7 linked regions of the Macaca fascicularis genome follow. The protein of the gene in region 1 interacts with the protein of each later gene in a pairwise test. Links are inferred from orthologs where the notes say so. Each region holds a gene or a part of one and is shown in the gene's direction. Other genes may lie near its edges.

The links.
Region 2: the proteins of BANP (region 1) and PPIF interact in binary tests that used the Homo sapiens proteins (3 or more experiments, as listed by UniProt). The two-hybrid records come from large-scale screens. The link is inferred for Macaca fascicularis from reciprocal best matches to the Homo sapiens genes BANP and PPIF.
Region 3: the proteins of BANP (region 1) and NRIP2 interact in binary tests that used the Homo sapiens proteins (3 or more experiments, as listed by UniProt). The two-hybrid records come from large-scale screens. The link is inferred for Macaca fascicularis from reciprocal best matches to the Homo sapiens genes BANP and NRIP2.
Region 4: the proteins of BANP (region 1) and TNXB interact in binary tests that used the Homo sapiens proteins (3 or more experiments, as listed by UniProt). The two-hybrid records come from large-scale screens. The link is inferred for Macaca fascicularis from reciprocal best matches to the Homo sapiens genes BANP and TNXB.
Region 5: the proteins of BANP (region 1) and SP2 interact in binary tests that used the Homo sapiens proteins (3 or more experiments, as listed by UniProt). The two-hybrid records come from large-scale screens. The link is inferred for Macaca fascicularis from reciprocal best matches to the Homo sapiens genes BANP and SP2.
Region 6: the proteins of BANP (region 1) and FOXR1 interact in binary tests that used the Homo sapiens proteins (3 or more experiments, as listed by UniProt). The two-hybrid records come from large-scale screens. The link is inferred for Macaca fascicularis from reciprocal best matches to the Homo sapiens genes BANP and FOXR1.
Region 7: the proteins of BANP (region 1) and C1H1orf94 interact in binary tests that used the Homo sapiens proteins (3 or more experiments, as listed by UniProt). The two-hybrid records come from large-scale screens. The link is inferred for Macaca fascicularis from reciprocal best matches to the Homo sapiens genes BANP and C1orf94.

What each region holds. Positions count from the first base shown.
Region 1 is NC_088394.1:83,878,736-83,882,529, forward strand, and holds part of BANP (protein BANP), read left to right. Parts: intron 1-95; exon of another isoform or gene 96-153; intron 154-430; coding exon 431-587; intron 588-3,708; exon of another isoform or gene 3,709-3,794. UniProt on the Homo sapiens protein: Controls V(D)J recombination during T-cell development by repressing T-cell receptor (TCR) beta enhancer function. Binds to scaffold/matrix attachment region beta (S/MARbeta), an ATC-rich DNA sequence located upstream of the TCR beta enhancer.
Region 2 is NC_088383.1:67,129,461-67,133,704, reverse strand, and holds the start of PPIF (peptidyl-prolyl cis-trans isomerase F, mitochondrial), read left to right. Parts: upstream 1-1,391; 5' UTR 1,392-1,474; coding exon 1,475-1,669; intron 1,670-3,112; coding exon 3,113-3,143; intron 3,144-3,693; coding exon 3,694-3,782; intron 3,783-4,244. UniProt on the Homo sapiens protein: PPIase that catalyzes the cis-trans isomerization of proline imidic peptide bonds in oligopeptides and may therefore assist protein folding. Involved in regulation of the mitochondrial permeability transition pore (mPTP).
Region 3 is NC_088385.1:3,698,481-3,702,274, reverse strand, and holds part of NRIP2 (nuclear receptor-interacting protein 2), read left to right. Parts: intron 1-2,381; coding exon 2,382-2,464; intron 2,465-2,746; coding exon 2,747-2,868; intron 2,869-3,118; coding exon 3,119-3,171; intron 3,172-3,794. UniProt on the Homo sapiens protein: Down-regulates transcriptional activation by nuclear receptors such as NR1F2.
Region 4 is NC_088378.1:139,646,569-139,650,362, forward strand, and holds part of TNXB (tenascin-X), read left to right. Parts: coding exon 1-257; intron 258-370; coding exon 371-688; intron 689-1,101; coding exon 1,102-1,425; intron 1,426-3,794. UniProt on the Homo sapiens protein: Appears to mediate interactions between cells and the extracellular matrix. Substrate-adhesion molecule that appears to inhibit cell migration. Accelerates collagen fibril formation. May play a role in supporting the growth of epithelial tumors.
Region 5 is NC_088390.1:58,807,144-58,810,512, reverse strand, and holds the end of SP2 (transcription factor Sp2), read left to right. Parts: intron 1-1,412; coding exon 1,413-1,513; 3' UTR 1,514-2,647; downstream 2,648-3,369. UniProt on the Homo sapiens protein: Binds to GC box promoters elements and selectively activates mRNA synthesis from genes that contain functional recognition sites.
Region 6 is NC_088388.1:117,848,570-117,853,029, forward strand, and holds the start of FOXR1 (forkhead box protein R1), read left to right. Parts: upstream 1-1,496; 5' UTR 1,497-1,511; coding exon 1,512-1,593; intron 1,594-3,002; exon of another isoform or gene 3,003-3,125; coding exon of another isoform or gene 3,126-3,186; intron 3,187-3,514; coding exon 3,515-3,589; intron 3,590-3,692; coding exon 3,693-3,940; intron 3,941-4,177; coding exon 4,178-4,404; intron 4,405-4,460. UniProt on the Homo sapiens protein: Transcription factor which acts as both an activator and a repressor.
Region 7 is NC_088375.1:200,805,259-200,809,572, reverse strand, and holds the start of C1H1orf94 (uncharacterized protein C1orf94 homolog), read left to right. Parts: upstream 1-1,370; 5' UTR 1,371-1,854; coding exon 1,855-2,174; intron 2,175-4,314.

The sequences.
Region 1 (3,794 bases):
TGTGGGTGGGATGCTGCTTTCTGGGGTGTGGTGAGTGTAGCAGGGCTGAGGCCCCACGGGAGCAGGAAGTGACAGGACGTTTGCTGTAGGCAGTCAGGCCCCACTGGAGACTTGAGCTGAGGGAGAGGATGTTTCCAAGCCAGTGTTGGGAAGGTGGCTTTGGAAGGGCATGAGGAATGCAGTGGAAATAGAGACGCCCTGGGTGACTTGTCCAGTGGTTAAGGAATGAGGCAGCGGGTGGCGTTTTCAACTATTTGTTAATTTTCAAAGAAACTTACCTTTTGGTGGTTTGAGGCAAGAAGAACCCTGCATGTAAAAATCCACAGACATTCTCGGCCTCTTGCATACATGTGCACGGCTCGTGGTTTTCATCATTTCACATGTGGCGATGGTTAATGTCCTCTCCTCCTCCTTTGCTTCTGTTTGGTAGGTGACCAAAAGCCAGCCCCTCTTCGAGTGGAACTCTTGCGTGTTGACCGGCCACTCTCCTGTGCTCTGGATGATGTCTGAACACGACCTGGCGGATGTGGTTCAGATTGCAGTGGAAGACCTGAGCCCTGACCACCCAGGTACAGAGCTGTGGGACAGTAGGTGAAATATTATTCTCATTACTCTTGAAAAACCAAAAGCTGCTGCAGTTATTTTCTTTTCTTTAAGCAGAAGTGAAAGTAATGCATGCTGTATATGAAAAAGTTTGAATCCTAGAGATGTGAACATTGTCGGCCCCTCCCTTCCCTCGCCCCTGCAGCCTCAGCCCCATGTTCCTTCTGGAGGGGGCCCCTGTCACACTTTGTCTCGAGGGCTGTCTCTGCTCCTGCTGCTCGGGTGTGTGTGTGTGTTCTACACCCTCTCCCCTGCCCCATCCCTGTGTGTGGCGTCGTGGATCCTTACCATGTTGTGTGTGTAATCCCCTGTGTGTGGCGTCGTGGATCCTTACCATGTTGTGTGTGTAATCCCCTGTGTGTGGCGTCGTGGATCCTTACCATGTTGTGTGTGTAATCCCCTGTGTGTGGCGTCGTGGATCCTTACCATGTTGTGTGTGTAATCCCCTGTGTGTGGCGTCGTGGATCCTTACCATGATATATGTGTAATCCCCTGTGTGTGGCGTCATGGATCCTTACCATGATATATGTGTAATCCCCTGTGTGTGGCGTCGTGGATCCTTACCATGTTGTGTGTGAAAAGTCAGCTCTGTTAGCAACTCCGCAGAATTCATTCACAGGTGCCCCCTCCACAGTTGACTTTTTCCTTCAGGGGCTCCTGGCATAGTCTGTCTGATTTTTCCTTTATACACAACCCTATAGGGAAGATCCTTGCATATGTATCTTGGCAAATAGAGAAGTTCCCAGAAGGAAAATTGCTATGTGTGTTTAAAATTTTGTTAAGACACTGAGAGGTTCTCTAGAAATGTTTTACTAATTCTTCCACTCACAGTGCTTGAGAACACGTTTTTTTCTACACCTTTGCTAAGGCTGGTAATTTTAAAAAATGATGTTAAAGGCACATGTCTACTTTGAAATAATAAACTTGTTTAAAGGAGACCCTTGAGAAATGAAACCTTAAATTTCAGGAACTTCACCTCTTCATCTGTGAAAACACTTTGTCCACACTTACTGTTTTAAAGAGATTTCTTCTTCGTCGTCGTCTTCTTTTTTTTTTCTGTAAAGTGGCATGTGTTTTATTGTTCTGTTAAGTTTGAAGTGACAAGCCCACCACAGCTAAGTCACTGAATGTTTCGGTTGCCTGGTTATTCTTTCAGGAATGTTCGAATTGAAAGGCTGACAATTTATTCCTCCAGAAGAGAGAATTTTCAGAACTCTCATAAGGAAGTCTGATGTCCATTCCTATGATCTGTTTGCTCTGTTAGTCGAGAAAACTACATGTGGAGACTAGTTGTAGTCTGGAAGGGGAGGGCAATAGAAATAGTTTTGGGGTGAGGTGAGCAGTCCCAGGGGAACATGAAGGCAGCATTTCAGGAGTGCTGTTGGTTAGTTTTCCACACGATCACTGCACATTATTTTACAAATCCCTGTTTCTAGTTTAGAAGGCAAATGACAGTTTCTTTAGAAAACATACACTGTAATCTTGTAAAAGAAAACTGTTCCAGTTACATCATTTCCAGTGATTTCAGAACCATTAAAGTTCTGACAGCCTACTTCCCCAATAAATCTCTCTTTATAGACCGTGGCCCAAAAAAAGCTTAGAGAAATAATTTCGAATCTTGATTTTGTTCCATCTCTGTTCCTTAAATGCCTGAGAACTATGATTTCTTGAGTATTTGTTAAAAGCCTACTGTGCGCAGAGCTCCTTGGCCTGCCCAGTACAAAGCCTGCAGTCTGGACCCAGGAGAAGGTGTGCACAGCTGCAGGTACCTTGGTGTGTCACGCATGTTTGCATTCATTGTGGGTTTAAAGTACTTTCCTCATCTCAAAAGTATACATCTAATAAAGTTTAACAGGATAGTCAAGAAAGTAGAAGAAATAAAAATTTTCTACAATCCTACTGGTTGTAGCAGCTTTTAAATTGTTGATGTGTATGTCTTTCCAATTTCTCCTTATTTTTATTTAAAAGAAAGACTTCTAGGATCATCTGACTTGATGTGTACCGACCATGGCTTGTGCTAACTCTACCTGTCTGAATGCAAAAATTGTGACTTGCATAAGGCCTGTCATTGCAGTTGATTGATTGTGATGTCTTTATTTATTTATTTGTTTATTTAAGACAGAGTTTTGCTCTGTCGCCAGGCTGGAGTACAGTGGCATGATCTTGACTCACTGCAACCTCTGTCTCCTGGATTCAAGCGATTCTCCTGCCTCAGCCTCCCGAGTAGCTGGGATTACAGGCGCCTGCCACCATGACCGGCTAATTTTTCTATTTTCAGTAGAGACAGGGGTTTCACCATGTTGGCCAGGCTGGTCTCGAACTCCTGACCTCAGGTGATCTACTCACCTCGGCCTCCCAAAGTGCTGGGATTATAGGCGTGAGCCACTGCACCCAGCTTGATGGTGATATTTTAAAAATGAACAAGGAGTTATTTTAATTCTAAAAGTAATGCATACAAAATTATAAAAAGCAACACATACAAAAAGCAGCAAAGTACAAAGAAGAAAATAAATGTCACTTGCTGTTCCATTACCTGTGGAGTCATTACTGGAGTTACTGCATGCCTGTCTGCTGCCCTTATGACGAAACTAGCTCTGTGACCCCAGAGAAGTCCCGTAACCTTTCTGGACTTGTTTTCTTCTCAACAAACTAAAAAGTTAGAGTAATAAGTGCGAGGGTCTCTCTCTGTTCTTCCAGGCCTGGTGTGATGACCAGTTTCCAGTGAGAGTAAAGAGCCTTTGACTGAGGTCCTGGGAACCTTTGACTAACCACAGGCACTTGCGGGCATGGAGTTTGAAAAGTTTCGTTACGTGAGAATTCATCTGCAAAGGCTTAGGTGGTGATGATTGATGCGCTCCCTGCCTCTGAGGAGTCATGAGGCCGAAGGCAGGGCCATGTGCTGCTTGTGAGCCGACAGTAGTCCTTGGCTTTGGATAATTTCCCACTGGGTAGATCAGATTTGACTGCTTTTGCCTAGGACCTGTGAGAGGTTCCTGTTAGAACTGTGGGACAATTCTGCATCTTTAAGTTTCAGAGTTTTGAGCGGAATCATCTAGTGGGTACAGGCTTAAAGGCACGGACCTTCTTTTTTGTTTTCCTGTTAAGATCTTCTTCGGAATGTCAATCTATATAATTCCGCGGGGAGTTGCTTTGGTGGAGGTGGAGGCAGGGACCAGAGAGGCCTGTGCACT
Region 2 (4,244 bases), on another chromosome or scaffold:
CATTCTCATGAAGCTAGGACACTGCTCTGACCTCGTGAATTTGCTTGGCTGGCATTTTGCTGCCCGACCTATTCCCATGAGCCCATTCAGAATCTGGGGCAGGTCAGTCCAGAGCTGGTCCCTGCTCAAGCCCACCTGCCTCCAAGGCTCAGCCCCACCCCTTTCTCTGGCCACTCAGGGCTCTGAGACCACTGCTCTCTGAATCCCAAACCCTGAGAAAGACAGTCCAGACTGTATCCATCACAGATGCCCACAGGCACAGTACTTAGTTGACAAATCCATCTCTCTCTAGTTCATTTTATCCTAAGAACAGACCTGAGACAAAAGCAGAATGAGGAGCATGATCACACCCTTACCCTCCAGATGGGAAACTGAGGCCCAGAGAGGCCTGGAGCACTGGCGCAAGCTGGCAGCAGGACTCTAGGGCTCCCCAGCCCTAGCCAGTGCCTTCCCGTGTCCAGGCCTCAGCTTCCCCTGGGGACAGTACTAGTGTTGGGCCAGATGCCCTCTCAAGTCCCTGCTTGGCATCCATTTATTGCAGGCCTCCCACCACCTTGCAGTGAGGGTGGCTCTTGCTGCTGGGAAGCCCACTCTCAGCACATGGGGCTTAAATGCTCCTGCTGTGGGTCTCCCCACTAAGTCCCCTCCCGGGGTGCATGCTGATGGGAGGGGGCAGGTGGCTGCCCTGGCTGGCCGGGTACGGGGGCTGTCAGTGTGGGTCCTAGGAGGAGGGATCAGAACCAGTCCTGGGGAGGGCTGGGGGCCTGGAAGGAGCATGATGAGCCCAGGCTGCGTTTTCAGTCTTGCTGGAAGCAGGTCTGGTCCCTAGAAATAACTAGAGACAGGACCAGGCCGGGACAAGCAGGCTAGGGGGCATCATGGGAGGTGTCTCAGCTTATCTCCTCCCTCTTTCGCCTCTGGCTCACTAATCCCGCCTCTCATCTCACCTTTCTCTAACCCTCTCGGACTGCAGGACCTAGGGCAGCAGGGAAGCTTATTTGGCCTGAGCCTTACCTATAAAGGGCCCTGAGCCTTACCTATAAAGGGCTCAAAGGTAGACTTTTGTTATTATATTCAAATTGCAACGTGTAGATGCTCATATTTTTTAGTTAATTACGTTTTAGCAGTTTTTCCTTTTTAAGAAAAGTCTGCTGGTACCTTAATAAACATGGAATCAGCATCCTTTTGCCGGGTGGTGTCTGTTCTCCGGGTCTCTGGGCCTGGAGGCGGGAGTGTTCCAAAGCATTTCACGCCCGGCGGCCCCACCGGCTGGCTGCGCTGCGCGCTGCGGCCGGCAGGGGTCGCCCACGGACAGGCCCGGAGGAGGCGGGACAAGGGCGGGGCCGCAAACCTGGCCAGGCCAATAAAGGCTGCTGCGCGCGGCTGCGCGGGACTCGGCCTTCTGGGCGCGCGCGACCTCTTTTTCAGAGTTGTGTGTTCTCCCTGCCCGTTTCCCGCCCGACCCTCGCCCGCGATGCTGGCGCTGCGCTGCGGCCCCCGGTGGCTCGGCCTGCTCTCCGTGCCGCGCTCCGTGCCGCTGCGACTCCCCGCGGCCCGCGCCTGCAGCAAGGGGGCCGGCGACCCGTCTTCTTCCTCCTCCTCCGGGAACCCGCTCGTGTACCTGGACGTGGGCGCCGACGGGCAGCCGCTCGGCCGCGTGGTGCTGGAGGTGAGACCGCTCGCAGGGCCGGCCTGGGCGCGAGACACGGGCCCGGGGAGAGCCCTGGGCTTTGGGCGGCGCGGTGCCGGGCGCGCTGGGTGACCTTGGGCCTCCCCCTGCCGGGCTCTGGGCCTCAGTTTCCCCATTTTGAGAATGGGCGTCGGAATGGCTTCTTCCGGCCTCGGAGCACTGGAGCCGGGGAGACGGGAGGGAGGGCACGTGTGGAGGAGAAAGCTCAAGGTCAGATCGCAGAGAGGGAGGGCCCAGCACCCCTGGGCCGGCCCCGGGACGAGAGAGGGGCTCCAGGAGTTTTCTGGGGCTGAGCCTAGATCCGGAGCTCTGAGGTGGGTGTCGGGGGGCTTGGGGTGAGCGTTGTGGCCCGGCGGGTGCTCACGTGGCGGCCCTTGCACAACGCGGAGCGCGCCCTGGCCCCGACCCCGCCCCCGCGGTCGGGCTCACACTCGGGGTGCTGGGAAATGGAGCGAGAAGTGGTTTCCAGCAGCAGTGCGGGCCCAGTAGGCCTCGGGCCCGGCCACCTGGTGGACCCCAGAATGCCCCTCCTGCGAGCTGGGACACATTCAGAGGCAGTGTGCCCGGAACCTTGCCCTGCCACCGTCCTTGGGAGTCACACTCAGCACCTGCCCAAACTCTTTGGGTCTTTTATAAAGCAAAGTAAGAAACAGTCATCAGGGTAACTTTAGAGGGAAAGCCCTAGTGGAGCCTTCAGCCCGGCCTCACATTGACAGCAGAGGTCAGTTCGTGTTGACTGGCCCTTTTCTCAGGGAGCCCTTGGTATTTCTTTTTCAGTCTCAGTTTCTTCTGGAAAATAGGGACACCCTTCCTGCTTCCATTTGGTTCAAGGGTGGGTCTTGCAGCTTCGAGGCTAGAGGCTGGCTGGGATGGGGCTTCAGCCTTCCCTCCCCACACCCTCATGCCTCTCCCTGGGCCTCAGTTTCCCAACCCCGAATGGAGGAGCCTTAGACCCACTCTCTTGTCCCTGAATTTCTGATGCTTTGGGCCCAGCTGTAGGAGCACTGCCCCTCCCTGGGAGCATGCCTTTCCCTGGGCCTCAGTTTACCATCCCCAAATCAAAGAGCTGGTCTGGCTCCTACCTTAGACCCACTTTCTTGCCCGAGTTTCTGATGCTTTGGGCCCAGCTGTGGGAGCAGTGCCAGCTGTGTCCACAGAAGTAGGCCAAGATAGCATTGTCATCTCTTCTGACAGATTAGGAAACCAAGGCCACCTCCTCCAGCCTTGGGTTCAGGAAATGGCTCCCAGAAATGATAGAGCTGCCACCTACGCGGGTTGGCAATAATGGGAATGGAATGTCCACGTGCTTCTTCCTCAGCCTCCTTGGCCGCTGTGGGGGTGGGTGGGTGGGTGCTGAGAGACATCCACCTTCACCTGTCTCTCCAATGACCACCCACTTTTGTCCCTCTTCTCCCCCAACAGCTGAAGGCAGATGTCGTCCCAAAGACAGCTGGTAAGACAGGGCGTGGGGCCTTGTGAGATGGGAAGGGGGCCAGGCAGGGCAAGGTGGGTGGCGTAGTGAGAAGAATCGGGGCTCAGAGACCCCTGACGAATGGGAGCTCCATGTGTGGCTCAGCCACTGGGTGCCCTGGGGCAGCTCTTCCCATCCCTCTCTGGGCCTCAACGTTGGCTCTGCCCTCCTCTCTCATAGTAGCTGGGAGCCTCAGAGCCGGTGGAAGGCACACGTAAATTTCCCAGAGACTTCCCCACTCTTGGTCCCCAATGAGGCAGGGTGGTGCGCACATAGCCCTTGAGTCGCTGCCCTGCTGGTGCCAGCACAGCCATGAGCCTGTACTCTTGTCACAGTGCTCAGGTACTGAGGTCAGGGAAGGGGAGTGACTTGTCCAGTTACATAGCGAGTTGGGCAGAGCAGACCCAAGAGGTGCCAAGGTCTTTATCCCCCTGTTCACTGCTGGGGATGTAGCAGGGATTTTGGCTGGAATGGGTATGACCCGGGAATTGGGGCCTGGCCGTGTTAACCTGTGTCTCCCTTTGACCCTCAGAGAACTTCAGAGCCCTGTGCACTGGTGAGAAGGGCTTTGGCTACAAAGGCTCCACCTTCCACAGGGTGATCCCTTCCTTCATGTGCCAGGTAACGTGGTTTCCTTTTCTGTAAGGGGGGATGAGAGCAGGAGCTGCCTTGTGGGTGTGTGAAGATGCCTGGCATGAGGAAGGTGTTGAGCAGGGCAGCTGCAGTTGCTCTGTTGGTCAGGCTGCCCCCCCTGCATTAGCCCTGTATCCAGGCTTCACTGCACATGGAAGTCCAGCCCCAACCCATTGCCACTCCAGGCCAGTGGCAGGCCCTGCCCAGGGGACTGGGAGGTGGAGTCTATCAAGGCAGAGCTGGGTTGGGGGATGGATGTGCTGGGGGTGGCCCTGAAGGCTTTGAAGAACCAGCATATTCCAGTGGTCTCTGACCTTGTCCCCTGCATGCCCCTGAGCACTGGTGTGGGAGATAAGAGGGGGAGAGGGAGAAGCGGCGGAGGTGGAGGAGGAAGACGGGTCCAGGGCAGGAACACACATGCCAGGACTTGGAGCTTCCCTTCCCAGAGAA
Region 3 (3,794 bases), on another chromosome or scaffold:
CAGGTGTTACCTCCTCCTTGAAACCTTTTCTGATTTCCCCAGTAGGAAACAGCCTTTCCTGCCTCCCAACCTCTAAGGCATGTTACTCACATCCTTTTTTTAAATATTTTTTTCTTTTTTTGAGACGGAGTCTCGCTCTGTCACCCAGGCTGGAGTGCAGTGGCGCGATCTCGGGTCACTGCAGCCTCTGCCTCCTAGGTTCAAGCGATTCTCCTGCCCCAGCCTCCCAAGTAGCTGGGATTATAGGCCCGCACTGCCACACTCGGCTAATTTTTGTATTTTTAGTAGAGACGGGGTTTCACCATGTTGGTCAGGCTGGTCTCAAATTCCTGGTGCTGGGATTATAGGTGTGAGCCACTGCGCCCGGCCCTTTTTTTTTTTTTGAAGACGGAGTTTCACTCTTGTTGCCCAGGCTGGACTGCAAGTGTGATCTCGGCTTACCGCAACCTCCACCTCCCGGGTTCAAGCAATTCTTCTGCCTCAGCCTCCTGAGTAGCTGGGATTACAGGCAAATGCCACCGTGCCTGGCTACTTTTGCATTTTTAGTAGAGATGGGGTTTCTCCAGGTTGGTCAGGCTGGTCTCGAACTCCTGACCTCAGGAGATCCATCCACCTTGGCCTCCCAAAGTGCTGGGATTACAGGTGTGAGCCACTGTGCTCCCTGACTTTTCCAGTCCTTTTATTTATTTTTTTAAGATACAGGGTCTTACTCTGTCACCCAGGCCGGAGTGCAGTGGCATGATCAGAGCTCACTGCAGCCTCAACCTCCTGGACTCAAGCGATCCTCCCACCTCAGTCTTCTGAGTAGCTGAAATCACAGGTGTGTGCCACCACACCCGGCTATTTTTTTTTTTTTGTATTTTTAGTAGAGATGGGGGTTTCACCACATTGGTCAGGCTGGTCTTGAACTCCTGGCCTCAAGCGATCCTTCCACCCTGGCCTCCCAAAGTACTTGGATTATACATAGGTGTGGGCCATGGGGCCAGGACATTCACATCCTTTTATAGTCCTTAATAGTCCTTAAAGCTTTCTACAGGTGGTGGCTCACGCCTGTAATCCCGGCACTGTGGGAGGCCGAGGTGGGCGGATCACGAGGTGAGGAGATGGAGACCATCCTGGCTAACCCAGTGAAACCCCGTCTCTACTAAAAATACAAAAAAAATTAGCCGGGCTTGGTGGCGGGTGCCTGTAGTCCCAGCTTCTCGGGAGGCTGAGGCAGGAGAATGGCATGAACCCGGGAGGCGGAGCTTGCAGTGAGCCGAGATCGCGCCACTGCACTCCAGCCTGGGTGACACAGCGAGACTCCGTCTCAAAAAAAAAAAAAACAAAAAAAAACCTTTCTGCCATATAGTAGAGTTAGATTTTACTTCCTTTAGACTCCTAAAGAATAGCATTCACTGATGTACCTTCCTGTAACATATCTTATAGCAGATACTCAACGAATGTTTGAAATGAGAAAATGACCTGTGTGTATATCCAAGTTTATATCAAAATGTCTATGTCCCAAAGTAGGTGAACTTGTCCTCCTTTGTTTCCAATGGCAAACTTCTTGGTTACCCATAGCTGAGTTTCCTAACAGGGGATTCCAGTCTTCTCATCCTTCCTCTATTCCTAACCTGGAGTTTTTGAACCAGGAGGCCATCAAACTCCCAAGGATTCCTCTAGATAGATCACCATTTCTCCATTTCTGGCAGATCTTCCCCAAACTTATGAACATATCACATATAACCACTTTTTTTTTCCCCCGTTTTATTTTTTGTAGAGACAGGGTCTTGCTGTGTTGCCCAGGCTGGTCTTGGACTCCTGGCTTCAAGTGATCCTCTTGCCTCCAAAGTGCTAGAACTACAGGCATGAGCCACCTCACCTAGCCCACTTCCTTTTTTGATTTATCCGGGAGTTCTGCCCCTATTGTGTGAGTCTCATAAAAACCAGTTTTTGTTTTTTTGGGTTTGTTTTGAGATGGAGTTTTGCTCTTGTTGCCTAGGCTGGCGTGTAATGGTGCGATCTTGACTCACCACAACCTCTGTCTCCTGGGTTCAAGCGATTCTCCTGCCTCAGCCTCCCAAGTAGCTGGGATTACAGGCCTATGCTACCACGCCCAGCTAATTTTGTATTTTTAGTAGAGACAGGGTTTCACCATGTTGGTCAGGCTGGTCTTGAACTCCCAACCTCAGGTGATCCACCCACCTCAGCCTTCCGAAGTGCTGGCATTACAGGCATGAGCCACTGCACCTGGCCCCGATAAAAGTCTGTTTTAAAGACAGTTTGTTTTCTCTACTCATTTCTAAAAGGGAGTCATCAGTGGGCTGGGAAACTGAAGGACCCAATCCCAACCCATTCTCCTAGGGACTCACTGATTCGGCACAATCCCTCTTTCTCAGTGCCAGGACCTGCTGCTTAGAGTGGCCTTGGACACAGGCACCCAATACAATCGGATCTCTGCTGGATGTCTCAGCCGCCTGGGGTAAGAGTGGCCCAAAAAAGCAAATGGGGGACAGGGTTTCTTTTTGGGCTGATGAAAATATTCTCAGATTAGATAGTGACGACAGTTGCATATTTTATCTCAATAAAGCTGTTATTTAACAAAAGAGTGGCTAGAAGACTCTGGCAGAGAAGGCAAGGATTTAGACCCCACGTGAGGTCAGGGGTTGGAGGTGAACCCATAGTAGAGCGGGACGTCTGCTGATTAATGGGGTGAAGCCCACTGGGGGCTGTGGTAGCTATAACCTTTGCTTCCCAACCACAGGTTAGAGAAGAAGGTCCTAAAAGCCTCAGCTGGGGACCTGGCCCCTGGGCCCCCAACCCAGGTGGAGCAGTTGGAGCTACAGCTGGGGCAGGAGACCGTGGTGTGCTCGGCACAGGTGGTGGGTAAGTCCCCCCTTCTGCAACAGCCCTGGTGCTCGCCTCTCACCTTTCTCTTCAGGGTGGGGCAAAGGCAGAGACTTTCAGTCCCTGCAGCACAAGGAGTCCCCAGAGATGTTCTGACCATCCCTCATCTCCATGCCAGTGCCCTCGGATCTGGGGATGGGGTGGGCAGAGAAGGAGCAAGGGCTGAGAGGAGGGGAGCAGTGACCGCTGGGAACCCTCAGCCTCTTCTGTTTTCAAATGGTTCCTGCAGATGTTGAGAGTCCTGAATTCTGCCTGGGCCTGCAGACTCTGCTTTCTCTCAAGGTAAGGCACCCACACTCAGGGCCTGATCCAAAGCACCGGGAAAAAGTAATAGAAGGCAGAGGTGGCCGGGCGCGGTGGCTCAAGCCTGTGGTCCCAGCACTTTGGGAGGCCGAGACGGGCGGATCACGAGGTCAGGAGATCGAGACCATCCTGGCTAACACGGTGAAACCCCGTCTCTACTTAAAAATACAAAAAAAAAGCTAGCTGGGCGAGGTGGCGGGTGCCTGTGGTCCCAGCTACTCGGGAGGCTGAGGCAGGAGAATGGCGTGAACCCGGGAGGCGGAGCTTGCGGTGAGCTGAGGTCCGGCCATTGCACTCCAGCCTGGGCGGCAGAGCGAGACTCCGTCTCAAAAAAAAAAAAAAAAAAAAAAAAAAAGAAGGCAGACGTGTGGAAGCCTGGACCAGGTTCTGATGAGAGTGACTTAGAGATTGGCAATTGTCCCTTTGCTTCCTTAGAGGTTCCTTACTCACCACCCAGGGAAAAGTCAAGAGAACTGGGTCACCCCCTCCAACAGGAGTCAAGGGAAATGGGGATAAGGGGGAGAGCAAAAGGCAGGTGGAAGCTGTGGGAAGTGGGAGGCAGGTGACGGGCTGAGGTGAGCCCGCATGACTGCTGTACACCC
Region 4 (3,794 bases), on another chromosome or scaffold:
CCGCCTCGGGGAGCTGACAGTGGAGGAGGCCACGCCGCACACCCTGCATCTCTCCTGGATGGTGACTGAGGGAGAATTTGACTCCTTCGAAATCCAGCACACAGATAGAGAAGGGCAACTCCAAACGGTCCGTACAGGAGGTGACCGGAATGACATCACCCTCTCTGGCCTGGAATCCGACCACAGATACCTGGTGACCCTGTATGGTTTCCGCGATGGGAAGCATGTGGGTCCTGTCCATGTCGAGGCCCTGACAGGTGAGAACTCTGCCCACTGTGCCTCCTTTCAGATGGTGGGAGAGTCCAGAGGAGAGCAGAGTCCCGCAGATACCCTGCCCACCTCAGTCCTCTCTTTCCATGTCTCTGTCCAGTCCCGGAGGAGGAGGAGCCTTCGGAACCTCCCACCGCAACCCCCGAGCCCCCCATCACGCCTCACCTGGGGGAGCTGACCGTGACAGACGCCACCCCCGACTCCCTCAGCCTGTCCTGGACAGTTCCTGAGGGCCAGTTTGACCACTTCCTGGTCCAGTACAGGAACGGAGATGGGCGGCCCAAGGCTGTGCGGGTGCCAGGGCATGAGGACGGGGTCACCATCTCGGGCCTGGAGCCAGACCACAAATACAAGATGAACCTGTACGGCTTCCATGGTGGCCAGCGCGTGGGCCCTGTGTCTGCAATCGGGGTGACGGGTGAGTGAACAGTGGGAGCCACAGGGTGGGTGCTGTGGGAGGGCCACCCTCTTGTTCTTTGGTGATGACTGGTGGGGAATGTGACAGGGGTCTGGTCAGCACCACAGACCTGCTTGTGGCTGGGGCTGGGGCTCCCCTTGGGCCTTCCTGTGAGGTTGACCCCTGGCTCCTCCTGAGCAGGGAGGGGCCGTCGGGAGTTTTGCTGTGCTGGTGGCTGTCCCAGGTCCCCCACAGTTGACCCTGGAACTTGTCATGTGTTAGCTGATCAGGACCACCCAGCCCCAAGAATGGGCTTCTCTGAAATGACCTCAGGTCCCCCAGTCATAACCTTGGGTTCTCCCTCCTTTTCCCCAAGTCCCAAGGACATCCCCCAGGGACCCTGCCTCACTCTCTCTGTGTCCTTTTTTTCTCAGCTGCAGAGGAAGAGACCCCCAGCCCCACAGAACCCAGCACGGAGGCCCCGGAGCCCCCCGAGGAGCCGCTCCTGGGGGAGCTGACAGTGATAGGATCCTCCCCTGACTCGCTGAGCCTCTCCTGGACCGTCCCCCAGGGCCGCTTCGACTCCTTCACCGTGCAGTACAAGGACAGGGACGGGCGGCCCCAGGTGGTGCGTGTCGGGGGCGAGGAGAGCGAGGTCACTGTAGGGGGCCTGGAGCCCGGGAACAAGTACAAGATGCACCTGTACGGCCTCCACGAGGGGCGGCGTGTGGGCCCGGTGTCCGCTGTGGGCGTCACGGGTGAGTGTGCGCTGCAGAGCCCTCTGGGTTGGGTCTTAGGAAAGTGCAGCCTCCAGCATCTCTTCCACTAGGGACCCAGGATCCCAAGACCTCAAACCTATAATGCACCCTGTTCGCTAAAGCCTCAGGATGGGTGTGATCTGGGGACTAAGAGAGCAAATCCAGGAGAAGTGCCAGCCATGTGGGAGAGGCTCCCGGGGACTGAGGCCTCTCAGGAGGTGATTCACTGGCTGGTTTGTGACTCTGCTTTTCCTTGGAGCTCTATAGAGAACTCTTTTTGTGGGATTGGAACACATTTTTGAAATACAAATTAATTAAATTAAAAGTATTTGTTAAATAAAATTTCAAATGTGTAAATAGAAAGAATAGTACAAAGACCTCAGGTACCCATCACCCTGCCACCCTCCTTCAATCAAATATCAACTTCTGGCCAGTCTGACTCATCTCTGCCCCACTCATGTCCTCCACTAGAATCACTAGAATGTTTTTCTTTCTTTCTCTCTCTCTCTCTCTCTCTCTCTCCCCCTCTCCCTCTCCCTCTCTCTCCCTCTCTCCCTCTCCTTCTTTCTTTCTTTCTTCCTTTCTTTTGACAAGGTCTCACTCTGTCACCCAGGCTGGAGTCTACTGGCACAATGACAATTCACTGCACTGCAGCCTCAACCTCCTGGGCTTAAGGGATCCTCCCACTTCAGCCTCCCAAATAGCTGAGACTACAAGCGCACTCCATCATGCCCAGCTAATTTTTTGTGTTTTTTGTAGAGACAGGGTTTAGCCATGTTGCCCAGGCCAGTCTTGAACTCCTGGGCTCAAGTGATCCTCCCACCTCAGCCAAAGTGATGGGATTCCAGGCGTGAGCCGCCACACCCGGCCTGAATGTTTTCTTTATTAACACCTTCATTGAGATATAATTCATGTGGCATAAAATACACTTGTTTTAAGTGTACGGCTTACTGATTTTAGTATCTTTACCTACTTGTGCAGCCATCACCACAATCTAATTTTAGAACTTTTCCATCACCCCCAAAAGAAATCTTGGGTCCAGATCCATTCCTATCTCAGCCCTAGTTTATAACCAATCTAATTTTTTCTCTGTAGATTGCTTTTTCAGGACATTTCGTATAAATGGAATCACACAATATGTATCGTTTTGTGTCTGGCTTCTTTCACTGAGCATGATGTTTTTGAGGTTCATCGATGTAGTATGTAGAAGTACTACATTTACTACATTGCTATTGATTGATTGATTGATTGATTTTTTTTTAGACAAATTCTCACTCTATTGCCAAGGCTACAGTGCAGTGGCATGATCATAGCTCACTGCAGCCCCAAAATCCTGGGCTCAAGCCATCTCAGCCCCCCAAGTAGCTGGGACCACAGGTGCTTGCCACCACACTCAGCTAATTTTTAAAAATTTTGTAGAGATGAGGTCTCACAGTGTTACCCAGGCTGATACCAAACTCCTGGCTTCAAGGAATCCTCCTGCCTGGGCCTTACAAAGTGCTGGGATAACAGGCATGAGCCACCTGCTCTCAGTCACTACATTGCTTTTTATTGCCAAACAGTATTGCATTGTATGGTTATACTACTGCAATATTTTAAAACGAACCACAGACACCCTATCCTTTCATCACTAAATATTTAAAGGTATATCTCTTTTTTGAAAAATTATTTTTAAAAAACCCACAATACAGCCAGGTGAGGTGGTTCACACCTGATCCCAGCACTTTGGGTGGCCAAGGCAGGTGGATCACTTGAGGTAAAGAGTTTGAGACCAGCCTGACCAACATGGTGAAACCCCATCTCTACTAAAAAAGAAAAAAAAAAAAAAAAGGAGAGCGTGGTGGCATGTGCCTATAGTCCCAGCTACTTGGGGGGGTTGAGGCACAAGAAATTGCTTGAACCCAGGAGGTGGAGGTTGCAGTGAGCCAAGATCGTGCCACTGCACTCCGGCCTGGGTGACAGAGCGAGACTCTTTGTCAATAAATAAATAAATAATAAAATTCCACAATACAATTAGCATACCTTGATAAATGAACAATCATGCCTTGATATCATGTATCCAGGTAGTGCTACAGTCTCCCGAGTGTCTCATAACTATTGTTTTCCAATTCGTTGCTGAAATTAGGTCTATAGAAGGAGGATACATTGCAGTTGAGAAAACTGAAATGTTAAGTAGAGCAGTCAAGGAAGGCCCAGAAGAAGGTGGCTTTTGAACAAAGACTTAAAGGAAGGGTGGGGATGAGCCATGAAGATATCTGGGGAAAGAACATTTAGGTGGAGGGAACAGTCACTGCAAAAGTGCTGAGGTAGGAGGCCGCCTGGCATGTTTGAGGGACCATAAGGAAGCCACAAAAGACTGTAACGATTAT
Region 5 (3,369 bases), on another chromosome or scaffold:
TTTTTCTTTCTTTTTCTTTTTTTGAGACAGGGTCTCACTCTGTCACCCAGGCTGGAGTGCAGTAGCACAATCTTGGCTCACTGCAGTCTTGAACTCCTGGGCTCAAGCAATTCTCCCACCTCAACCTCCTGAGTAGCTAGGACTACAGGCGTGCACCACCACACCTGGCTAATTTTAAAATTTTTGTAGAGACAGGGTCTTACTGTGTTGCCCAGGCTGGTCTCAAACTTCTGGGCTCAGCTGATCCTCCCTCTTCTACCTCCCAAAGTGAGATATCACAGTTATAGTTTTAGGTACTAGCAAATCAATGCAAAACTATTAAAAATATTGATCCAGGCTGGGCACAGTGGCTCACACCTGTAATCCTAGCACTTTGGGAGGCTGAGGCAGGTGATCACTTGAGCCCAGGAGTTTGATCAGGCAGGGCAATATAGCGAGAGCCCATCTCTTAAAAAAAAAAAGTTCATACATCTGCCACCTGAAATTGTCCTGGGTATCCACAGTGGTCCACACACACACTTTGGCAAACACTGCTATAGTGAATGCCTGCAGTGAGCAGACACCTGTCCTGGGGCTAGAGGGCTGAGGGAAGCTTGACCCAGAGCTCCAGCTCCCGGCCAGTGTGGTGAGACAGGTCCTACTCCTCAAAAGGCAGAGGAGCCAGCACTCCACAGGAAAGCAGTTGGGGTCAACATGGTTCCAACTAAGTGAGTGCTCAGGGCTGGCAGGGTCAGGGTGGAGCGGGATTTTCCTGCGATGGGGAGGATGCTGATCCAGGTTCAAAGTCAGAGAGACAGAAGAAGAAAGCAGGCGGACAACCCTGCACGGAAGACTCTTAGGTGCAGGGGCTCCAGGGACAAGGAATGGGAACAAAATAGACTGCAGAGGTCAAATGGGGGCAGAGAGAAATGAGAATTGATAAAAAGATTTAGATGAGTAGGGGGCCAAGTGTGGTGGCTCATGCCTATAATCCCAGCACTTTGGGAGGCCAAGGTGGGCGGATCACTTGAGGTCAGGAGTTCAGGACCAGCCTGGCCAACATGGTGAAACCCTCTCTCTACAAAAATACAAAAATTAGCTGGGCGCAGTGGCGGGCATCTGTAGTCCCAACTACTTGAGAGGCTGAGGCAGGAGAATTGCTTGACCTGGGAGGTGGAGGTTGCAGTGAACGGAGATTGTACCACTGCATGCCAGCCTGGCCAACAGAGTGAGACTCCATCTCAAAAAAAAAAAAAAAAAAAGATTTAGATGAGTAGGCACCAGGGAGCAAATGTGAGAGCAGGAGGTGGGCAGAATGTGGTGACAAGGCTACGTCAGCTTGTTTGGGTGCCCCTCACACACACCCCACCTTTTTGGGCAGAGACAGGGTCTGTGCCCAGGGTATGTGGGTGATGGGCATCTCCTCTTCCCAGGGGACAAACGCTTCGAGTGCGCCCAGTGTCAGAAGCGCTTCATGAGGAGTGACCACCTCACCAAGCATTACAAGACCCACCTGGTCACGAAGAACTTGTAAGGCCAACTGCGGCGGGAGGCCCTGAAGATGCAATCCCCCGCCTGTGTCCTCCCTGGGCCCCTGGTGGAAAGGAGCCCTGTGGCTGCCCTGGGCCTGCCCTCAGCCCCACTCCTGTTCTGCAACTGTCCCCACAGGAAGGGGCTCTGCTCCCTGTCCTCCTTCTGAAGCCCCTTGGCTCCGCCTTGGCCCTTCCCCTCACCACGAGCTCCCGGCCTGCCCAGACTGTGGACACTGGCCGTGCCCAATGAGACGTTCTAAACCAGGACGCGTGGGAACCCTTATTTCCAAAGGAAAAACATGCATTTCACTCCGTCGAGGAGCAAAGTGAGCCCCCACCCCCCACCCCAATCCCCGCTCCCAACACTGCCGGAGTCGCATCGTGCCATGCCCACTCTCCTGCACCTCCCTGGCCCTGCCGGCCACTGTGGACGCCCTGGGGCTTGGCACCCACCTCTGGAGAGACTCGGGGCCACCTCCACTCCATGTGCCCAGCCCCGCCACAACCTCTCCTCCAGCACATTCCAGCTCTGTTTAAAAAGTAAAGACACCCACCGACTCCTCCTGATCCCCCTCTTTTTCTATGGAGAACGTTGCCTTATACTCTCTACTTCAGATGATGAACACTGTGTACTGTGTGTGCTTTAAAGAAGTTTTATTTAATTGCTCCCTTCTTCCTTTCCTTGTTATTCACCTCCCCAATGCCTGCTTTCAGTTGAGGGTTGGGGGCAATGATGAGCATATGAATTTTTTTCTCACTCTAGCAATTCCCTTTTCTAAATGACACAGCATTTAAACTCAAATCTGGATTCAGATAACAGCACCTGCCCATCCTGCACCTCTTCCCTCTCCCTTCACCTCACCCCTGCCCGGCCCAAGCTCTACTTGTGTACAGTGTATATTGTATAATAGACAATTGTGTCTACTACATGTTTAAAAACATATTGCTTGTTATTTTTGAGGCTTTTAAATTAAACAAAAATCCAACTTTATTTTTAGTTGTAACTGCTTGAGGTATGTTTTATGAATTAAGTGACAGATTTGTTATCCTTTATTAACGTACTTTGTTGGTCAGCGCTGGGCTGACAAAAATTTTTTCTTGCTAATAAATTTAGTTGCCTGAGGCAAAATCTTCAACTTGGCAGTTCGGCTTCCTTTGTCTTTTCCCTTGGAGAGCTCGGAGAGGAGACTCCAGAGGAGGGAGCTGTGGTCTCTCAGAGCGATCCACACTGGGATCAAGGTAGGACCTTACCCTCCTGACCCTCAGCAAACCCAGGCCACGTGCCCAAAAGGGGCCGCAGCCACATGTACCTCACGACACTGGCACGAGCCCCCAGAGCACCTCCAAGGGCCAGGGCCCAGTGCAGGTGTTCCTGCCTTTTTCTTCTGTAAGCCAGTTTTGCCTGTACACAAATCAGATACAAAGAGCCAAGTCACAGCAGTGACCTCAGCCAGCAAGTTAACTCCTCCACCCACCTCCCCAACCCCTGGAGGAAGGCATTGGCCTCAGAGCCCATTAGCAAGAGGCTTAGAGAGGAGAGCCAGTGGGGCCTTGGCTCAGTCCCCTCCAAAAGGCTACAGTCTGGCAAAAATGCATTTCCCCAAGGGCCAAGGTCCCTTCCCAAAGTGAAGGGCCAGGCAGGTTCCTGGGAGGGCCTGGCAGCTAGAGGGGCCTGGAGCCCAGCTCTACCCGAGAGAGGACTCTGGCCACAGATTCTGGTTCCTTCTATATCCCTGCCCAGTAACCCAGAGAGGACGACAAGTTGATTGTGCCTTTTGGTTTTAGCAGATGCTGCAAATCTGAAATTTTGGTGGGGATCTGTTTTGCTTTGTTTTGCAGAGCTAATAGGAACTCAGGG
Region 6 (4,460 bases), on another chromosome or scaffold:
CCCTGGATCGTCTGTGGCTTTGGAGCACTTTGTTGGCCAAACCACAACCCTGACTAAATCCACCTCTGCCAAACGAGTGAGCCAAAACCATAATTCAGTGGACTGGTGATCTCAGTGGGATCATAGTTGGGGTTGAGGGAGTTAGCCAGAAAGACACAAGGTGGTGCATTTTTATGTGGTGCATAAATGAGGTTATGGAGAGGTTGCAGTTGTTAGTTTAGGTTATGACTGAGGGAGTGTCTACAGTAGAGTAGAAGTCAGACTCGCTGGAGAAGAGTTCAATAAACAGCAAAGATCATGTTTTTGTTTTCAAAACAAGGTCTGGCTTTGTTGCCCAAGCTGGAGTGCAGTATCGTGAGCTTGGCTCACTGCAACCTCGCCTTTCCCTCTCGAGCCATCCTCCCACTTTAGCCTGCTGAGTAGCTGGGACTACAGGCTCACACCACCACACTCGGCTAGACTATTATCTTTGTATTTTTTGTAGAGATGGGGTTTCACCATGTTGCCCAGGCTGATTTCAAACTCCTGGGCCCAAGCAATCCGCCTGCCTAAGTCTCTTAAAGTGCTGGGATTATAGGCATGAGCCACCACACCTGGCCAGCAACCAAGATTTAAGGCAGGAGTAGTGTTGGAGAGTGACAGTAAGTCAGGAGCTAAAACAGGAGGTCAGTAGATGATAGTAACAATGGAGATTGATTAGTATATAAGTTCCTGTATTAACTTGAAAATATACATCCAGGAGCAAACAGTAAGGTAAATTGTAGTCCTGCCTCATTGCTCTTAACAAGGGCTGCTCCAGTTGATACTCAGAACTGCAGTATAATAAGAGATTCTATTTCTTTGCATGTTTCTCAACACTTGGTATTATCTTTATAACTCTAGTCAATTTGATTATCTCATTATCTTACAGTGTTTTTCTTATTAATAATACTGATCATCTTGTTAGCCATTCAGTTATCCCCTCCTTGTGAATGCTGATTCATATCATTTGCCCATTTGTAAGTTTGTGTTGACCTTTTACATACTGATTTGTAGGAGCTCTGTATATATTAGAGAACTGAGAAATTTGGGTTGAGGCCGGGCGCGGTGGCTCATGCCTGTAATCCCAGCACTATGGGAGGCCAAGGCGGGCGGATCACAAGGTCAGGAGATCGAGACCATACTGGCTAACATGGTGAAACCTCGTCTCTACAAAAATACAAAAAAAATTAGCTGGGCGTGGTGGCAGGTGCCTGTAGTCCCAGCTACTCGGGAGGCTGAGGCAGGAGAATGGTGTGAACCCGGGAGGTAGAGCTTTCAGTGAGCTGAGATGGCGCCACTGCACTCCAGCCTGGGTGACAGAGCAAGACTCTGTCTCAAAAAAAAAAAAAAAAAAAGAAAGAAATTTGGGTTGAAGTTTGCTTTTTTTTTTTTTTTTTTTTTTTTTTTTTTTTTGCTTATGGTGATTTTTACTATGTTTGAACGTTTTTTAAGAGAGTCTTGCTCTGTCACCTAGGCTGGAGTACAGTGGCATGATCTCAGCTCACTACAAACTCTGCTTCCCAGGTTCAAGTGATTCTCCTGCCTCAGCCTCCCAAGTAGCTGGAACTACAGGTAAGCGCCACCACACCCGGCTAATTTTTTGTACTTTTAGTAGAGATAGGGTTTCGCCATGTTGGCCAGGCTGATCTCGAACTCCTGACCTCAAGTAATCCACCTGCCTTGGCCTCCCAAAGTGCTGGGATTACAGGTATCAGCCACCGCACCTGGCCAAACTTTAATTTTTGTACTATAATATGTGCATAAAACTTATAGATTCATTTTAGGGTAACTGGCATCTTAATAGTATGTATTATAAGTCTTTGTTCAAGTCTTTTAAGTTATTTATTTCAGGCCGGGCGCGGTGGCTCAAGCCTGTAATCCCAGCACTTTGGAAGGCCGAGACGGGTGGATCACGAGGTCAGGAGATCGAGACCATCCTGGCGAACACCGTGAAACCCCGTCTCTACTAAAAAATACAAAAAACTAGCCGGGCGAGGTGGCGGGCGCCTGTAGTCCCAGCTACTCGGGAGGCTGAGGCAGGAGAATGGCGTAAACCTGGGAGGCGGAGCTTGCAGTGAGCTGAGATCCGGCCACTGCACTCCAGCCCGGGCTACAGAGCGAGACTCCGCCTCAAAAAAAAAAAAAAAAAAAAGTTATTTATTTCAGAGCTGAGATGGGAGGATTGCTTGAGCTGGGAGGTGGAGATTGCAGTGAGCCAATGTCACACCACTGCACTCCAGCATGGGCAACCAAGCAAGACCGCGTCTCAAAAAAAAAAACCCTATGTTTATATCTTTTGCTACTTTTTCCTTTTTTGAGTACTATGTTGAATATTAGCAACCTAATAGGCATCCTCTCTAATTAAGCTCTCCGATAAGTATGTCATTTCCCAAACAAAAGCCTAGATTCATCTGTAATATAATGACACTCATAGTGACAGTGAGGGGGCAAAAATAGTTTTTGTCCTGAACAATCAGTTAATGGTGGTGCCACTTGCTGAGACAAAGAATACAGGAAGGCTAGGCATGGTGGTTCACGCCTGTAATCCCATTTTGGGAGCCTGAACAGGAGGATTGCTTGAGCCCAGGGGTTCAAGACCAGCCCAGGCAACAACATAGTGAGACCCTCATCTATACAAAAAATACAAAAATTAGGCCGGGCGCGGTGGCTCATACCTATAATCCCAGCACTTTGAGAGGCTGAGGCTGGTGGATCATGAGGTCAGGAGTTAGACACCAGCGTGGCCAATATGGTGAAAGCTCTACTAAAAATACAAAAATTACCCGGGCGTGGTGGCAGGCACCTGTAATCTCAGCTACTCGGGAGGCTGAGGCAGGAGAATCACTTGAATCCGGGAGGCGGAGGTTGCAGTGAGCCAAGATCACGCCACTACACTCCAGCCTGGGTGACAGAGCAAGACTCCATCTGGAAAAAAAAAAAAATTGCAAAAATTAATGGGGCGTAGTGGCATGCACCTGTAGTTCCAGCTACTTGGGAGGCTGAGGTGGGAGAATCTCTTGAGCACACCACTGCACTCCAGCCTATGCAACACAGCAAGACCCTGTCTCAGAAAAAAACAAGAATACAGGAGGAAGAGCAACAAGATGGAATTCAGTTTTAGAAGCCGTCTGAAGTGCCTGTGGGCTACCCAAGTAAAGATATCCAGTAAGTAGTTCTCCTTAAGGGCTAGCACAGAATGCTAGGCTAGAGGTGAAGATTTGAGAGCTCTACATTTTTTTTATAGATGTTAACTGAAGCCACGGGCATGCAGGAGATCAATTCAGGGACAGTATATGTAGAGTGAGAAGAAAAGAATGCAGAGGGGAATGAGAAGGTCAGAGAGGTAAAGGGAAAACCAGTAGAAGTACAATGTGATGTTAACTCCCCAGGCAAGGCCCACAATACCTTCTCCCAGAGAAGCCTTAATGCCTAGGATCCTAGGGTCACAAAGGGATATCCTAGGATGTTTTGACTCTCTCTTTCTTTTTGCCAGTTGCCAGGTATAAACTCCGAATTGTTAAGCCACCAAAATTACCCCTAGAGAAAAAACCCAACCCTGATAAGGATGGTAAGTATTGAGTTCTCTGACCTGTTTCTGTGACCTGGGCTGGAGACCAAGGGCACCCAAAGCCAGTGGGCTGCGGCACACAATCTCCTTTTGTTCTGCACAGGTCCAGATTATGAACCCAACCTCTGGATGTGGGTAAACCCCAACATCGTGTATCCCCCTGGAAAACTGGAGGTCCCAGGACCTAGGAAGAGGGAGGATCTGACAAGCACACTTCCCTTGTCTCAGCCACCACAGAAGGAGGAAGATGCCAGCTGCTCAGAAGCCACAGGGGTGGAATCACTGTCCCGGTCCTCCAGCAAGTGGTCTCCCCCTCGGAAGCGCTTTGCCTTTTCCCCCAGCACCTGGGAGGTATGGATCTCTGGGGGTGGGAGCCGGACTTGGGCAGTAGGTGAGGGGCATGGGGAAGAGCCATCACAATTCTGCTCTCTTAGCCATAGCAAAAGGCGAATGGGTTCAGAAATTACCTTCATGCTTGGGTTGGGGAGAAGCCCAGATGGTGGCCTTAGACCACCCCCCCTTCCTGCCACTGCACCCTGGAGTAGAGGCTGAGGAGTCAGGACCAGTTCCTACTCTGTGCTCCTCTAGCTCACAGAAGAGGAGGAGGCTGAGGACCAGGAAGACAGCTCCTCTGTGGCTCTCCCATCCCCTCACAAAAGGGCCCCCCTCCAGAGTCGGAGGCTTCGGCAAGCCAGCAGCCAGGCGGGGAGGCTCTGGTCCCGGCCCCCTCTCAATTACTTCCACCTAATTGCCCTGGCATTAAGAAACAGTCCCCCCTGTGGCCTCAACGTGCAACAGATCTACAGTTTCACTCGGTATGTGCCGGGGGCCCTGTGAGGAGGGGGAAGTGGGGGCCAGGGCCCTGGGCTGA
Region 7 (4,314 bases), on another chromosome or scaffold:
CTTTTGCACCAACCTAATAGTTATTTTCCATCAGAGCCCCATTGCATCTGTAATTATTGCTGCTTTACTCGCTTGGCTAGTTTGCATCGATCTCCCCTCACTAGTATACAGGCTCCATGAGAGCAGGGACCATGCCACTTTTGCCCACCCTTATGCTTCTTCAGTGCCCAGCAACTCATCGGGCACAAAGGAGGGGTTGCATCAGTACTGGGGGAATTATGAATGGGGATAGGAGAAGTTCAGAAAGTTCTTAGGGTCACACAGCGGGGAAGTGTCAGGATTCAACCCAGCCCTGCATTTATAGACTGCCATCTTCTTCTATTTGTGTCCATTCTTCTTTCTTCCTTCTCCACCCTCTTGCTCTTCCTTTCCAGGAGTATTATTAAAGAAACAACGCCCTGACTCTTGGGACCAGAAAGTCTCCCTCAGAGGAGGTACTGTGTCAGTGCCCAGTTGAATGAAGCCGCTTCAGTGAGGGTAGGGGCCTGTTGATCAGTAAACAGCTAACTTAGCCCTTCTCCCAGCACCTCGGACCTCCTACCCCTGCTCCTGCCCACCTACTGAAGCAGTCTCAGTGCTCAAGGGCTAGATCAGGCCTAGAGTGCTGGGGTCTGAATCTCAGCTCCCCTTTTCTTAGTGGGCCTTGGACACTATCATTTATGACTTTGAGATTCGCTTTCCTCCCATTTAGAACGATAATAAAAAGTGGTACTAATTTCACGAGCTTTGATAGGATTGAATGTGAGCCCAGCGCTTGGCACAGGGCAAGCGCCCCATAAAATGGCAGTTAGGATTAAACTCGAGGATGAGGGGGCCCCCCAGGCAGGAGCTGAGGTTTGTGTGGAGCGGTGAAGTGGGGCGGCGGCGCGTTTGGCTTTGACTTCTGATCCGCCGAAGCGCTCTGGGGTCCTTTGGGCCCCACCCCCACCCACCCCACCGGCGGGTCTTGGGCTCCGAACCCAGGGCGTCCCGCGCACCGAGCCGTTGCGTTTGAAACCCACAGAAAGAATTCCCCCGCTCGACGACTGCGAGGGTGTGGGAGCCATTGGCAGGGCAAATTGGTGGGAGCCGCCCGGCCCAGCCTGCCTTGCCGAGTCAGCGCGCTCTTGAGCTGCTGGGCCCTTCCCGGTGCCCATCCCGCAGCGCGGCGCGGCCAGGGCAGGGGTCTGCTGGGGGCCGGGACTGAGGGCTGTGGGCCCATCCACACACGCCTCGTCCCTTCTTTCCCGGGGCGGCAGAGCAGCAGCGGGAGACCAGGAGCAGGTGGGGTAGGGCGAGAGTAAAGCAAGAACTGGGCCGGCGGCGGGGACCGGGCCGTTGGCGCTCGCTCTGCGAGGGGCTCCCTGGGAACGCCCAGGCGAGCGTTTCCTGCGGGGCCCCGCCCCCCGGGTGCCTACCATGGTGTCAGGCCCGCACCCAGTTCTCCGCGTGTCCTAGCGGGCCAGCATGGGCTGAGCCCAGGCGCCGCAAGGTGTCACGGCGGCGTCGCAAGGGGGCAGTGCCAGGGACTGTGGGGAGAGCCAGCCCTCCCCCTCCAGCTGTTCCCAGATGTCATTCTGCCCGCCCAGGCGCCTGGTTCCTGAGCTCCGGGGCATTCCACTGTTCCTAAGCTACTGGTTTTTGTTGACTTTTAAATATTTTCTTCTGAGGGAGAGGGGGAGGGCGGCAAAAGTTAGGAAAGAGGAAATAAAAACAAATCAAAATAAGCCCTCCCCTCCCCAAAAGAAAACTGTCCTCCACCCACCCCTCCCACACAAATCGAAGGCCTCTGAACCTAACCACCTTGTGGGAGCGACAGCCAGACAGAACTGACCCACTTCTGCCAAGACCCATCCTCATCTCCCTTTCTGGTGAATGAGGAGTGGTGGTGGATGTCTTCTAGCCCTGGGTGGACAGAGGGGCTTCCAGAAAGAGCGGAGGAGGATGGCAAGTGGGAATGGGCTTCCTTCATCCTCGGCCCTGGTGGCCAAGCGCCCCTGCGCCCTGGGCCCATTCCCCAGATACATCTGGATCCACCAGGACACACCCCAAGACAGCCTAGACAAGACTTGCCATGAAATCTGGAAGAGAGTTCAAGGCCTGCCTGAAGCCTCACAGCCCTGGACCTCCATGGAGCAGCTGTCTGTCCCCGTGGCTGGAACTCTAAGAGGCAATGAGCTCAGCTTTCAAGAAGAGTGAGTACCCCCCTATTCCGTTGGCAGAAAGGGAGGAGGGAGGAGATGAAGTCTGACCTTCTAGGGGAATGTTCTGGCCCACCCTTGAGGCTGCTGAAACCCTAAAGGCTGTATATTGCCCCTTCCATGGTCCTTTGTCCAAGCGTTATAGAAGAGCTGACCAAGGTTCTGATGTTTCGTGGGTGAAGAGCCAGATTAGGGCTATATTCCAGGCTGCCTCTTCACTAGCCCACTAAGCAGACATCTCTCATCCTAAACGCATGTGAATCTGAGGTCCTTGAAAAACCACCCTAGCCAAGGCTAAGGGTTACATGGCTCGTGACTTTCCCCAGAAGCAACTAGAAGATCCTTCCCCTCTCCCACCTAAAGGCTAGGCATTCACATGGATGAGACTGATGGTTTTAAATCACATCTGGAATTCCCTAATACAGGGAGCAGCTGTCCCATTCAGCCTCCACAGAAGCTGCTGCAAGAGCACACATCAAAATATTTACTGGGAAGGCACTGACATATTCAGAGGACATAATAGAAAATTAAAGTGCGGGAAGATGGCTGTAAATAGCCCGTTTCCTGGATGGGAAATCCTGTGTCTGGGAAACACAGAGCTAAGTGTTTCTCCATCAGGGCAAAGTTGGGCAGATATTGTTGGGGATGGATATTCGAAAGGAAAGGAAGGAGCAGAGAGGAAAAAGGGACCTCATTAGGAAAAGAAGGTAAATCTGCTGTGGTTATTAATACCACTGTTGAGCACTTATTTCACATTTTGCATCTTCAAAGTGGACTGTAAACTTAATTAATGCTCCCAGAGTCCCTATGAGGCAGGTATTAGTGTCCCCATTTTACAGATGGATTAAGTGTTAATAATTAAGAGCTAATTAAAGACTAACCGATAATTAAGTGTTGCCTGCTCCAACACATGCTACAGCTCAGTTCAGAGATGCTCTGGAGTTGGGGAGCCATTCAGGCATTTATCAGCTGCCTCAGGTTTCAGGGATGCCAAAGCAAGAGCTAAGAAGAAATGCAAAGTGTAACGGACACCCACCTCTGCACTACCTGCTGTCCCTCTGTGGGCTCATTTACTTACTGCAGATGAAGGTGGAAGGTACTTTGGCTAGTCCTGCCTCCCTGCCCTGTGCTCAGCACGACATGGCTCAGATAGGAATGGCCTATCTACAGCCAAAACCCTGCTGTCAGGCCCTTCAGTGGCATTGAGCCCTTCTTCCCTGCTCATTGCCATCTGCTCCGGGACAGGGCCTTGGCAGGAGGGCTGTGCTCAGCTCTCAGTGGCCAAGGAGCTGATTGTCCACTTCGTGGACCAAGGGTCAGTAGCAATTTCCAGTAGATGGCACCCTCTTTGCCAGGTCACATGGAGTTAATGGAGACAGACTCTACTTCCAGTCTGCACTTGGCTGAAAATTGAACTGGTGCACCTTTGGCCAGCTGCTTAACTCCATTTGGCCTTTATTTCCTCATTTGCAAATTGAGGATGATATGCACTGCCTTGTCCACCTCAGAGTTGATAATGAGGATCCGATGTGATGGGAGACAGTGAAATGAAAGATGCATTATACAAATCAGGCTGCCCTTAACTTGTACTTCTTCAGGTTGGGATTTGTTGTTGTTGTTGTTGTTGTTGTTGTTGTTGGCGGCTTCAATCTGGGATTTCACACTATGCTCCATATACCTCAAGGTGCTTCAGGGGTACCGTGGAGTCAAGTGGGCTGGTTGCTGGGCCCCAAAATCCATTTCAGCCAGAGCTGTTTAGCTTTTATCAGTTTTACTTACTGGAGTTCTGAGAAGGGCTGAATTTGAAAAGTGTGTTTCTGCTATTGAGAAAAGAGATAGGAAACCACTGACTTAGATGAATAAACAATATCCTAATTGTCAACAAAATAGAACACAATGAGCTATTCTTAAAATAAAGGCAGTGTGCTGGTGGAGTCAGATAACTCTGGTTTCAGATTCCATTTCAGCCCCATGACATTTGAAGAATTTGTTACGGTTTAATTTATCTAAACTTTGGTTTCCTCATCTGCCAAATGGAGATTAATACTACACATTTTGTAGGGTTGTTGGAATGATTAAATGGGATATTTAAACATCTATGGTAATAATTCAGATTTGTAAAAATTCCCTGCAA